Rattus norvegicus: one gene and its partner. The protein of the gene in region 1 purifies or fractionates together with the protein of each later gene. This does not show direct contact. Links are inferred from orthologs where the notes say so. Each region holds a gene or a part of one and is shown on either strand. Other genes may lie near its edges.

Region 1 (7,268 bases):
GAAGAACAAAGGCCAGGTTCCCAGGTTCTTACATGCTTAGGGGAAGCGGGAGGTTCCATGTGACCTAGCCAACATGGTCCTGACTTGGAAGAATTGCGCTAGACAACCTACAACTCAAAGTTCTGGATCCAGGGAAGGGAGCACAGCTAGAAGGTGTATGATCTAATGTCGGCACTACAGATTTATTTCTGAAACACCTGCTCTGTGAATCTGAACTCCAGAGTGGAAAAGTAAATAGAGAGATAGAGTCTTGTACTCAGTCTGAAAGAAACACCAGCCAGCACTTCTAACTGACACAAACACTGTGTCCCTATCTTAAGGTAGCTGCTCAGAAACCTTCTTTAAAAAAACAAAAAACAAAAAAGAAAGAATTAACTTATTTTGAATCTCAAATTAAGCTGCCTATGAACCCTGAAAACACTCGGTAGCCCAGATAAGCCTCAAACTTAAGACCATTCATGCTGAGCACCAACACAGCAGCTCACAACCATCTCTAACTTCAGATCTAGAGAATCCAATGTCCTCTTCTGGCTTCTATGGGCACTGCATACCCATGGCACTGACAAACACTCAGGTACAAATCACACACACAAAATAAATAATGATGAAGGGATTAACTAGAAAGACCAGAGGGAACTGTTAGAAGAAAACCAAAAAAAGCTCTGGCTGGCCTTGCAGTCTCAGAGCCAAAAGGAACAAACAGATGTCAGACACTGTGCTCCACAGACCATGGAGTGGGAGGGCAAGGATGGACAAGTTCTCAGTTTAGGTTTAAACAAGACCTGACAAACAAAAACCAATAGAACTTCACTCTTCTGTTTTAGCCAAACAGGTTTTTTGCTTTTAAAGTTCAGAACAGTAAAGGGTTTTTTGAACAATGGGTCTTTAGAAAATAATGGGTTTCACGTCAGGAAATCCTGTTGACAATATCTGGTTCCAACATGAACCTGTCACCGATTCCATGGAGAAAATGCAGAAATATTTTGTGCCCTGAGAAGAGACAAGGCAGGAGTTTCTTCTTAAGCAACCTAAAAGTCTGTCTTGGGCCTATGAAATAACAAAATAACCTTTTCCAAGGAGATGGAGAGATGGCCTAATAGTTAAAAGCACTGGCTTTTCTTCCAGAGCAGCCACACTCAGTTCCCAGCACCACGTGGTAGCTCCTGTCAGTAACCCAAGTTCCAGGTAATCCAATGTCCTCTTCTGGCCGCTATGGGCACACAGACATACGTGGCAGCAAACACCCATTCACATAAAACAAAGACTACATTTTTTTTTCAAAATTAAAAATCTAGACCTTTTTCCTAAAGTGAAATAACCCAGAAAATTTTACTTTCATCATATTTAATTGCAATCTCAAAAATTAAGTCAATACTTTGCATTCTTTTTTTTCCTTCTTTAATTATTTTAATTAGCTTAGAAACTAAAAGAAAAAAATCTTCTCAAAGAAATGGCTAAGAACTGGCAAGATGGCTCTGGACCGAGGCAGCTGCTGCCAAGCTTGACAGTCTGAGTTCAATCCCCAAAACCCATGTGGTAATAAACGAGAAGAATCTCCTCACACAAGTTGTTTGCTCACTTCTATGTCATGCAAGCACCACAAACACATGAACACACATAAAACTAATAAATATAAATGTTTAAAATGTTTCAAAAGAAAAAAGTATCAGAAATATCCTCTCCTCCTCCCCAAAAAATAAGGATGCAGAAAAAAAGCCTTTGTGGGCAATGTTAGAACACAATAGGGAGTGCGAGCAGAACAGTGATTTTTTTCATAAAATAAATCTGAAGGGCTGGAGAGATGCTCAGTAGTTAAGAGCACTGACTGCTCTTCTAGAGCTCCTGAGTTTGAGTTCCAGCAACCACATGGTGGCTCACAACCATCTGTAATGGGATTTGATCCTCTCTTCTGCATGAAGACAGAACACTTATATAGAGAGAGATAAAACAAATAGGTCTTCTTAAAAATAAAAATAAATCTCACTTGGGGGAGAAAAAAAACAATTAAGAGACCCCAAGTGACAAGAAGATGCTCCCATATATAAACTGGACAGCAGAGCACAGTCTCCAAGAGCAGGAGAACGACATTTTCTAGGGTCACATACCACAGTCCTTTGCTTATTCGGCAAGAAAACCCGGATAGTATTGCTTGTCTTAGAAGAATCCGTGAGTTTGCCATCATCAGAGGCCCGACGCTGATAGCCAAACTGCTGAACAATTGTAGGGGAGATGCAACTGGAGCCATCAAACACAGCATCTTTGAGTCCGAAACCATTGCTGATCGTCTTCCAAGCTCCCTGTATGTGCTCCATTGATGCAATTTCAACAATACTTATACCTGAAAGACAAATAATTATAATTCTAGAGAAAAAGTACTTAACCCAAGAACACAATATAGAAAGTTGTAAAAACAGTGATATACAGCTTTTTGTAATCTGAGAGCAAGTTAGTCAGGAAAGAAATATAGTGGTGTATTTCCATAAAATGAAAGAAAAAGAGACCAAAATTCAAAGCTAACCTAGAGCATAAGCCAAGATCGCCTGGCTTCTAGTCCGTATTTTTCATATATATTTATTTTCTTTGATTACAATGTATGAATAAATTGGGTCATCACCTCTGTCCATGAGCAATATATTTTAAACTCTGAGAATTATGCACTGGGGAGTAGGGAGTCCTGCCTCCAAGAGAAAAGCAGAAAACTTAATTCCCAGGATGCACTGTAGATACCATATGTGTATATTTTTATGGATAAGCTTTCTCATTTAATTTGTATAAGAACTTCAGCTTTTAAATCTTCATTTTACTTTCTCTTTAAACCAGAGAAATCACCCTAGCTGTCCCAAAACTCCCAGATTCCATATCTATTTACAAAGTCCATGAATTTTCCACTGTAACATTCAGCATTCGGTTTGGGTGCAGAACCAAAGAAGAAAACCGGTCATTTAACCCATCACAATCTGATGTTTTAACCACGTAACATGCCTCAGGCATAAGGACTAGGAATGCCCAGACACTTGCAGGTCAGCAAGCAGGCAAAGTAAATGGTTCTCCTCCTCTAGAAAACTATAAGGTTAGCAGAGAATCCTCCTTCAAGCCTTCTGTCGGACACTTTTGTCTATCTAGCAAGAGCTAGAATTCACCAGGAGCCTCTATTGTGAGGCAGAATACAGAGCATGCATGTACACATACATATATGCATGCATGCACACATAGCACATATAGAAATTTACATATATACATATGACCCATTCCTATTATCCACCTTGATATGTACAGTTAGATACTAATAGAAGTGATGTCCCATCTAGAGCAGAGAGAATTCTTACAACATACTCTGAGTGTCCAGGCTAAGATGCACACTTGGGCAGCTCTAACTCCACAGCTCTCACTGTCTCACATACAGTCCTGACACACAAATCACTTAGTCGGGGATGAGATGGCTAGAATTAAAGAAAATGTAACTTATACCTCATTTTCAACCAGAACTTTCTCCCTGACTTCCCACTATGTGCTAAATTTTCAGCCCACGAAAAGAAACTGGGGACTAACTGCAACCAGACTCCTGTGCCACATCTGTGGGTCCACAGCCATCGACTCCAACAATTGAAAACAAAAGATTGTGTGTGTGTGTGTGTGTCTACACTGAACATATGCAGACTTCTTTTTCGTCACTGTGTGACTATCTGCACAACATTTACACTAGATTAGCAATCCTGAGTTCTCTGGGACTTACATCAGAGACACATGCAGGGCCCATGCAAATACTATTCATTAGGGACCTGAACAAATGCAGACTGTGCATCATGTGACCCCCTTGCTTAAAACTCAGAATAAACTCTGAACCCCTTAACCAGGCCTCTAAAACTGCTTTCAGAACATGCCAGTCATACTGGTAACAGTAACGGTTTAATCCCAACACTTGGAAGGCAGACACAGGTGGATCTCTGTGTGAGGTCATTCTGGTCAAAACACCCAGTTCCTAGATAGTCAGAGCTTACAAAGTGGAACCTTGTTTTTAAAAGAAGGCAAACAAACCCACCAGAACATACCAGTATTCATACCTGAGAATTTCTTATTCCCTTCACCCAAAAGAATGAAAATCCCACAAACAGTCAAGATGGCCTTTCCACTACCTGTCTCCACCAAGACAGCCTTTTAAAGAGTCCTTACCTGACACTCCAGCCAAAACAGTCTATCTCCTCCCCTCAACAAACAAACCTGATTAATTCTCAGTGCGACATTTATTACTACAAAGACTGTTTATAAATGTCAAAAACAAAAAATAAATAAATTTAAAAATAAACACATACATACATACATACACACATACATAAATGTCTGCTTTGTGGGCAGAGCTCACTGGTATATTCTTAGTACTTGGACCAGTACCTGCAACACAAAGGCACCTAACTTAAAGCTTTATGTAATTCTGTGAGTTTTCAGGCATTCCACTGCTGTAATACACTAAATTTTAATTCTTTACACAGTAACTGTTAGTTATTATATGACCTTACTTATCATTGTGACTTGATTTTAAAGTGGAAGAAGTCATGATAACTATAATTTCTATGATCATTTTAAATCAACCAAAGTGAGCTATCAACTGAAATTAAAAAACTAACCAAAATCAAGCATGGTAATCCCTTTAATCCCAGCACAAGGAGGCAGAGGCAGGCAGACCTCTGTTAAGTAGGCCAGCTAGCTAATCTACATAGGACAGCCAGGGCCCTGTACAGAGACCCTGTCTCCAAAAAAAAAAGAAGACGGAAAAAGAAAAGAGGAGGAGGAGTGGGAGGAGCAGGAGGAAAGAAAAAGGAAAAACTAAACAGCAGTGGTTCTAAGTCTATAACATTAAATATTAAAATGTATTAAGAAAACTGCTAGAAGATGCAACATAAAATTATAATTACAAGCAGGTTCCATTAAAAAAAAAACCACACAGAAATATTGGGCAGAAGAGATGGTTCAGAGGTTAAGAGTAAGTACTGCTGACGTAGAGGACCCGGTGCCGACAAGTACATAAGTAGTCTGCTGACATCTAAGGAAAGGATTACTAGATCATTAAAACTATATACAGCTCTTCCCTTTGTTGGCCATTGCTGGAGTTTAATTCTTTGTGACTCTGACCAAAGCAAGAACCACAGAAGGCTTTGACTGCAGCTTCTCACACTCAGAAGAACATAATGACTTTTCCTTTTTCCAAAGAGCAGAGACAGAGGCCTAGCATTAGACATATACCCACCCTAAAAGATGATGACATTTAGGTTGTCCAAGGGCACTACAGAACTCAGCAGAAGTAATTCAGATTTACAGTATAAAATGACGCCATCTACTCTGTACATGTGCAGTGGGAAAAGACTGTGGTACACTGCTATGTGGGCAGTCATCCCAGAAAAGTGATTAGCGCAGGCTAAAGTTGGACAAAGGCTCAAGGGGGTTTGGGGGAGCGTGGAACAGAAAGACAAAAGCCTAGGGAAAAAAAGGAAAAACACAAAGAACAGACAAACGAGATGTAGGAACAGAGTTATCTTGTATACAATTCTCGCTAAAAACTGGGTGAATAAAAAGTTATACTGTCTTTTTTTTTTTTTACATTTTAAAATTAGATTTTGGATGATTTTTATGTCAAGGCATTTCCGTTTGTTTAACTGACCAGTCAATAGATATCCACTTTTTGTCATCGCCTTCTGGGGTTGGGAGTAGATAAAGAAAGCATGGGATGTGCTACTGCTTCACCTCTCTTGGAAATAACAAATACTTCTCAAATGTACAAAGGATAAAGACACAGACTGATAAAAGTAACCAACACTAGCGGGTGTAACTTTTCTTTCTTTCCTTCCACCCACACAGCACACTCTAGATTGGAAAGCACTCTACCACCAAGCCACATCCCCAGTTTTGTAACATGCCTAACAGTCTCATTATTAGGTCTACTCTATAATATTAATGAAAAGTTTTAGACTACTTATGTTTTATATGCCTTTGAAAAACAGAACTGGAGAGACGGCTCAGCAAAGAAAGAGAGACAGAGACAGAGAGAGACAGACCACACCAGGTCAGGTGGTAGGTGGTACAGGTCTGTATATGCCTAGCACTTCAGACACAAAGCAGGAATATGGAGAGTTCAAGTCCAGCCTGATCTACATAGCAAGACCCTGACTCAAAACAAAAGACTCAGGCCATGGGAGGAGGCACATAGGGCTCTGATTGTAGACCAGCATGAACTGTAAAGACAGATCAGATGCTATTTCAACAGGCCCAACACTTGAGCCTAACATATGACTCAACGTCTGACTACAAAACCTGGCAGCTTCCTTCCCAGCTCAGCAACCAGACTCAGAGAGCTCCCCATCACACCATGATGCTCAGCAAAGCTCACTTGTGCTCTAAGACAATACTCAGTTCTTAATCCTGTCCTGTTAACTAAGTAGATTAGCAGAGAACTTCTAATATGAAGGACAGAGACCAAACCACATAGATGGGGACCTGAATTATATATCAGACTAAGATACATAGAATCATCATTTATTTTTTTATTTTTATAATAACAAGAAAACAAGACTCCAGAAGTTTTAGCCAAAGGATCAGGAATGGCTTCAAATCTCAACATCGGAAGAAATGTCTGATACAGTATGAAAGAAAACTATAAAGAAAGGTAAAAGAGAGAGCTTTTTCTAACATTCATGATTCATGAGCTTTACTGTCCATGGTCTCTTTCTGAAGGGCCTCATTATTCACATAAGTCAAGAAAGAAAATAACCTAAGACACAGGAAGCAATAGGACACTGAATATAGAATGAAGCAAAGGAAATTCCCAGCAGGCTAGGGGAGGGAATTCCTGGATGACATACATGTGCCAAACATAGGAGCCCTTAATGACCTAAGTCGAGAAACATCAAACTACCACTAGCAATATTTATATACACCAAAGGGGTTTTTTTTTTTTTTCCCTCGTTTTCTAAGGAAAAAAGAGAAAACAGCAGATAACCCACATTTTAAGTTTCCATGCATCTATGGTCCTGCTGACAACACAGCTCACCTCAAAAGAAATGAGAGAGAATTTATTCTGAGCCAAAAATGAGTGGCAGCAGTCCAGGAACAAGGACTTATGTGGCCTCAAATGATATGCTTCACCACAGAAGTGACTGACTGCAGGAGAAAGAAGTCATATGTCAGAGCACTTACTGAGTTCACTGAGGGACACAGCAAGGGGACGCAAGAGGAGTGGGCAGCTCTACTACAGGCTCCAGATCCACCCAAGCCACATC
Region 2 (6,063 bases), on another chromosome or scaffold:
ATTGGGAGTCACTACAACATGAGTAACCGTTGTGGTCACAACAAGGGTCACAGCATTAGGAAGGTTGAGAATCACTGATTTAAGAGATCAGGCATCCCACACACCTTTTCTGCATGTACCCCCTCTTCTAGATGTCTCCAGTAAAGGGCAGCTTACACCTAGAGCCACATGACTTTTCGTAGAATATAATGGTCATGCTCACTCTTCAAGGCAACCTTTCTCTGATCCAGATCCTTAGTGAGCCTCCGTCAATTCCCATGGTTTACCTTTAGGCCAGCAGTTTGGAACCTCTGGGATACTATTCCTTTGGGTCTCACATATTAGATATCCTTCATATTAGATATTTATAATTTATAATAGCAAAATTACACTTATGAAGTACAACACAATAATTTTATGGTGGTGGTGGGGTCATCACAATATGAGGAACTGTATTAAAGGGTCGGCAGCATTAAGAAGGTTGAGAGATACTGCTCTAGGCTTTGCACACTGTCTAGGCCTCTAAGGTCACACCAAGCTTAGAGACTCTGCCAAAGAAGACTTCTCCCCTCAAAACTCCTCAGGGCCCAAGGTGGATGGAACAGTGAGTTAGGCAGGTACAAGGTGTACCCATCTACATGCATCACATAGCAGGCACCTTCTGATTGTGCCCATTGGCATGCCCTGGACCTTTGGAAAGCTGCTTGGTCCTACAGTGTTGGCGGCCTCTTGTCCCAGTGCTAGCCCCATTTCCTCCCGGATGGAACTAGGCGGCAGAGAGGACGGTGGGAATGGGCCTGTACAGGTGTGCAGGCCAGGGCCATGGAGCCTGTGAAGACCAGCGGAGATGGGTAGCGAGTGCCAGGGGTCTGTGGGTGGTTATGTAGGTGATGAGAGTCCTGTATGACAGCACTTGTGCACACAAAGAGCTCGCAACAGCGTCAGGCGCTGTGGAAAGGTTTGCTCTCAGGATTGGACTCTTCACATTGCTGTGGACCAGACTGTGGCTGAGAATCCTAGGCACTGGAAATCAGGATGAAGCCACAAAGGTGTGTAAGATTTCACAGCTTGGGAAATCACAAGCCAGTTTTGGTCCGCTGAGAACACTTGTCGCCCCTCTAGTACGTTGAGCTTTAGCACCCTCAGATAGCCTAGCTAGCCCCGCCCCTCAGCTGCCTAGCTCTCAAAGGAAGTCTCCGCTGCCCCAAAATCTCTCCCGCAAGCCCCTCCCTCTTCCTGTTCGAGTCAATCTCACACAAGTGTGACGTTTGTATTTGCCAGTCCAGCCTGCTAGACTGGTCTGTACTGGCCGCTCCGGCGGATTTGGGCCTGCCCTGAGGAGAGCGCGCAACCTGCGTAGCAGCGGCTGTGACGCAAACGTGACGGCGGCTTGACGCGCCCACAGCCGCTCTTGAGGCGCTGGCGCTTCCTCTGCTAGGCTCCGAGCTGTCTGTTTCTTGGGCCCTGTGTATAGGTGCCGGCCGCCCCTGGCGTTCAACACCGCTTCCAGGTGCCGGCCGTGTCTGCCATGGACGACTATGCGGTTTTGTCCGATACTGAGCTGGCCGCAGTGCTACGCCAGTACAACATCCCGCATGGGCCTATTGTGGGTATGCTGCAGCCGGTGGCGCTCAGAACCTCTCGGTCCCCCGCTTTCCCGCGCTCCTCCCTGAGCGTTCTTCCTACCTCCTCCTTCCCTCAGGTCCCCTCCCCGTGTTCCCTTGTGCTCTTGGGGTGCTCGGCTCGCACCCGCTGACCGCTTCGCACCCTGTGTCTGGGCAGGCTCCACTCGCAAGCTCTACGAAAAGAAAATCTTCGAGTACGAGACCCAGAGAAGGAGGCTTTCGCCCCCCAGCTCGTCATCGTCTTCATTCTCCTATCGGTTCTCAGGTGAGGCTCCAACTGCACAGCCCCAAAGAGCAGCTTGGGGCACAAGGCGCAGGGAGGGAGGGTGTGGCTGAAGCTACTGAGGGAGTAGGGGGAAGTCTGGAGATTGAAGGTCCTGTACCTTCTCCTCCACATGCAGACTTGGATTCAGCCTCCGTGGACTCAGACATGTATGATCTGCCCAAAAAGGAGGACGCCTTACTTTACCAGAGCAAGGGTAAGGCAGGTGTGGGATGGGCACTGATGTCTTTATCCCATGCTTCAGGGATTTGGGCACAGTGAAACTCCAGACCTCACCCCCTTGTACCAGTTCTCAGTGGCTTCAGAGAGAAGAAACTGGCACAGCACACACACAGACTGGGGGGGGGGGGCGGAAGGTGGCAAGAGGCCAGGTAAGGGGCACCACTTTTTCCTCTACCACTGTTTTCTTCCTCAAGACTATAATGATGACTACTATGAGGAGAGCTATTTGACTACCAGGACATACGGGGAGCCCGAGTCTGTGGGCATGTCCAAGAGCTTCCGCCGGCCAGGGACCTCACTTGTAGATGCTGATGATACCTTCCATCACCAGGTGAGTTGTCTGGTAGGCATACCTGGGGTGTATGTAGCCTTAGGGAATTCTAGGTTTGGATAGTTCAAGGAGATACTAGGTGCAGAGAGTGGATCTTAGGCCTTCAAGTATGGTTAGGATCAGCATACAGTTGTTGGCTCAAAAGTTCTACGTTGGAACCTCCAAAACTATTAGATTTGGGGATGAGCATATATAGCTCAGTAGAAGAGCATTTACCTATGGTTTCATCTCCAGCATCCAGCAGCACACACAAATGTTTTTGGGGTTTTGGCATTTTTAAAAATTTAATTACTTTAATTATACCTATGTGTAGCCAATTTTTTGTTAGTTTGTGGGTTCCCCTCACCCTTTCACCCCCAATCATTAGATAGAGAAAGAGAGCTAAAGATCCCTGAATCTAATTTCTTTCTTCCTTGTGTCTTCTTTGACCCCAGCTACTAGCAAACTGTAACCAACCTCACCTATTGGGGCTCTAGTATTTACATACCCTCTGAAAAATTCCCAGAATTCCAAATACCACAAAATTGCAGAAACTATCTGCAACTCAAAAGCATGAAGCAAATCATAGCTGCTGTAAAACAGCCCCATATCCCACATCTAGGGTTAAAATAAAAACATTCTTATAATATTTCTGTGTTTCTTAAGCCAAATTTCAAGAATTCTCACTACATGTATGTGTCTGTGGGTAGTATGCATGAGTGCTGGTGCCTACAGATGCCAGAATTGTCAGATTTCCCCTTAGATTCCCCTTAGAGCTAGAATGGCAAGTAGTTGTAAACTGCCTGATGTGAGTGCTGGAAAATGACCTTAGGTACCTAGGAAGAACAATAGGTGCTTTTAACCACTGAGGCATCTCTGCAGCCCACAAACTTTTATGATCTGAGCATATATAACAGCACCTGTACTCTAGGATGTAGGTTTAAGCCTCCTGAGAATCCTGGGGAATAAAAGGATGGTGGGACAAAGTTGACAAGGTTTGTAACTGGGTGGCAAGGCCCCACAGTTAAAGAGGGCATGGACCCAGAATGATGGGGGGGCAATTTTCTGCCCCCTACAATGTGACTAGAGTAGGCTAGCCAGAGACATTTGGGGAAACCATTCTTTCCCATTTCTAATCCTAATTATCCGGCAGGTGCGTGATGACATTTTCTCTTCTTCAGAAGAGGAAGGCAAGGATAGGTGAGTAGTGAACACATGTAGGGACAGGGACAAGTTTGACACTCAGACTCTCCTGCCTACCTGTCCCCTTCTTTTGCTACAGGGAACGCCCCATCTATGGCCGAGACAGTGCCTACCAGAGCATCGCACACTACCGCCCCATTTCCAATGTCTCCAGGAGCTCCCTGGGCTTATCATATTATCCTACATCCTCCACCTCTTCTGTGTCCTCCTCTTCATCTTCTCCCTCTTCATGGCTTACCCGACGTGCCATTCGACCAGAAAAGCAGGCCCCTACTGCTGCTCTGGGCCAGGATCGACAGGTCCCACTCTGGGGCCAGCTGTTACTCTTCCTGGCCTTTGCTGCCTTTCTGCTCTTTGTTTACTATTCCATACAAGCTGAAGAAGGCAACCCCTTCTGGATGGATCCCTAAGGGTATTGGTTTCAGAGCAGCTCTTAACAGGAGTTTTGGCTGACTGCCTTAGCAGTGTTTGCTGGGGGTGGGGGGTAGGGGCTTTTTTGTGTATTCTAGTTAGAGGGTACAGGGCCTAGCCTACGGCAGTGCTTGTCTCCACCTCATCTTGCCAAGGAAGCAGCAAATGCTGGCTTTCCACAGCCCAGTAGGCCCGTATGTACCTTCCTCTGGAGCCTCCTAGCCTTATTGCCTCTGACTCTTAGGGTATGGGGATCTGGTGGGGAGGACCTCACTTCATTAGAGGAAAACTTGGTGGTGGCAGTGGTAGTTGTCATGCATGCCTGTTTGTTGTCACCTTTTCAGGGGGTATTAACAAGGCCATCCTGGCTTTGCTTTCGTGGACACAATAATAAACATGTTTATTTTTACCTTGTTGTTTCTTCCTACTGGGATGGGAGCTGGGCTGCCATGGCACACAGGTGCTTGGTTTTAGGTCTCAATAATCAGTGTGGCTTTTCCCTTTGGTTGTGCTTGGTCTTGGGGAAGGAATCAAATGCTACCCATAGATAAGTCTATGTTTTAGTTGTGGGTTTTATTTCTGGGCCAACTCCCTGAAATACTTATTATAACCACTTAGAAAAATAACTACCATGTAATTAAATGTGTAGATAAGCCTATGGGAAATGTAGGCAAAACTGCATATATGATCATATATGCAGATACTTTAGTCAGGAGAGGCTAACACCAACATCTGAGGTTACCAGGATAGAAAAGATATGAGGCATCATGCCAGTACATTGTTCAGCTCCTGGGATTGGTGGCATGATAATAAGATTCAAAGGCTACAGTGCACCCATGGCTATTCTAATTCTTTGCCTGTTTATTCTTGCTCAGTTTTTAGATTTTCTTTGGAGATAATCTTTTTGTATACTGCGTTAAAATGTTTCTGTCCTTCCTTATCTGCCTAAGGTACCTACTGATTGGTTTAATAAAGAGCTAAATCGAGGGACTTCTGGGCATAGAGAGGGACTCTGAGGTCAGCTAGACATGGAGGAAGAATAGGTGACTGGTACTGAGGATCAGTTGTGAGCCATGTAGCAGAATGTAGAATAGTATAAATGGGTTGATGTAAGTTATAAGAGCTAGTTGGGGGTAAGCCTAAGTTAAGGCCAAGCTTTCATATTAATGAAAAGTCTTTGTCATTATTGGGAGCTGGCACTGACCTGGGTTGCCAGATGTAACCAAGCTGTCTCTTTGGTACCAGTTCCCAATAATGACATAGATACCTTTTATTATGAAAGCTTGGCTTTAGCTTGCTCACTCTCAACTAGCTCTTAATTTTTTTAGATTTACTATTATTTTATTTATATGAGTACACTGTCGCTCTCTTCGGACACACCAGAAGAAGGCATCGGATCCCATTATAGATGGTTGTGAGTCACCATGTGGTTGCTAAGAATTGAACTCAGGACGTCTGGGAGAGCAGTCAGTGCTCTTAACTGCTGAGCCATCTCTCCAGCCCCCAGCTCTTAATTTAACATACTTCTACATTCTGTCAGGTAGCTCATTACCTCTCCTCAGTCCCATATGTCTCAAATCTTCCACCTCTGACTTTCCCACAGTATCCCTTTCTGCCCAGAAGTCCTGCCTATCCTCTAAACAAGTCAGGAGGTGCATTGGGCAGGTGAGGAAGGACATACACACCTTCACACAGTGAATGATTATCCCAACAGTTTTTCTATCTTGGATACATAGTATATAATATTAAAAGGTTTTTTTTTTTAATCCAGGCATGGTGCTACACACCTTTAATCTCTGCACTTAGCAGAAACAGAATGATCTCTTTGTTTTTTGTTTTTTTTTAAAGATTTATTTATTTATTATATATAAGTACACTGTAGCTGTCTTCAGATACACCAGAAGAGGGCATCAGATCTCTTTACAGATGGTTGTGAGCCACCATGTGGTTGCTGGGAATTGAACTCATGACCTCTGGAAGAGCAGTCGGGTGCTCTTAACCGCTGAGCCATCTCTCCAGCCCCAGAATGA

What was found. The genes of interacting proteins can lie anywhere in the genome.
Region 2: the proteins of Raf1 (region 1) and Emd purify together in Homo sapiens (affinity purification with mass spectrometry; 3 studies listed by BioGRID and IntAct, with this or other methods). This does not show direct contact. The link is inferred for Rattus norvegicus from reciprocal best matches to the Homo sapiens genes RAF1 and EMD.

What each region holds. Positions count from the first base shown.
Region 1 is NC_086022.1:150,373,361-150,380,628, forward strand, and holds part of Raf1 (RAF proto-oncogene serine/threonine-protein kinase), read right to left. Parts: intron 2,339-7,268; 5' UTR 2,313-2,338; coding exon 2,106-2,312; intron 1-2,105. UniProt on the Homo sapiens protein: Serine/threonine-protein kinase that acts as a regulatory link between the membrane-associated Ras GTPases and the MAPK/ERK cascade, and this critical regulatory link functions as a switch determining cell fate decisions including proliferation, differentiation, apoptosis, survival and oncogenic transformation.
Region 2 is NC_086039.1:157,189,038-157,195,100, forward strand, and holds Emd (emerin), read left to right. Parts: upstream 1-1,400; 5' UTR 1,401-1,507; coding exon 1,508-1,589; intron 1,590-1,681; exon of another isoform or gene 1,682-1,761; coding exon 1,762-1,869; intron 1,870-2,005; coding exon 2,006-2,083; intron 2,084-2,303; coding exon 2,304-2,440; intron 2,441-3,572; coding exon 3,573-3,619; intron 3,620-3,701; coding exon 3,702-4,032; 3' UTR 4,033-4,412; downstream 4,413-6,063. UniProt on the Homo sapiens protein: Stabilizes and promotes the formation of a nuclear actin cortical network. Stimulates actin polymerization in vitro by binding and stabilizing the pointed end of growing filaments. Inhibits beta-catenin activity by preventing its accumulation in the nucleus.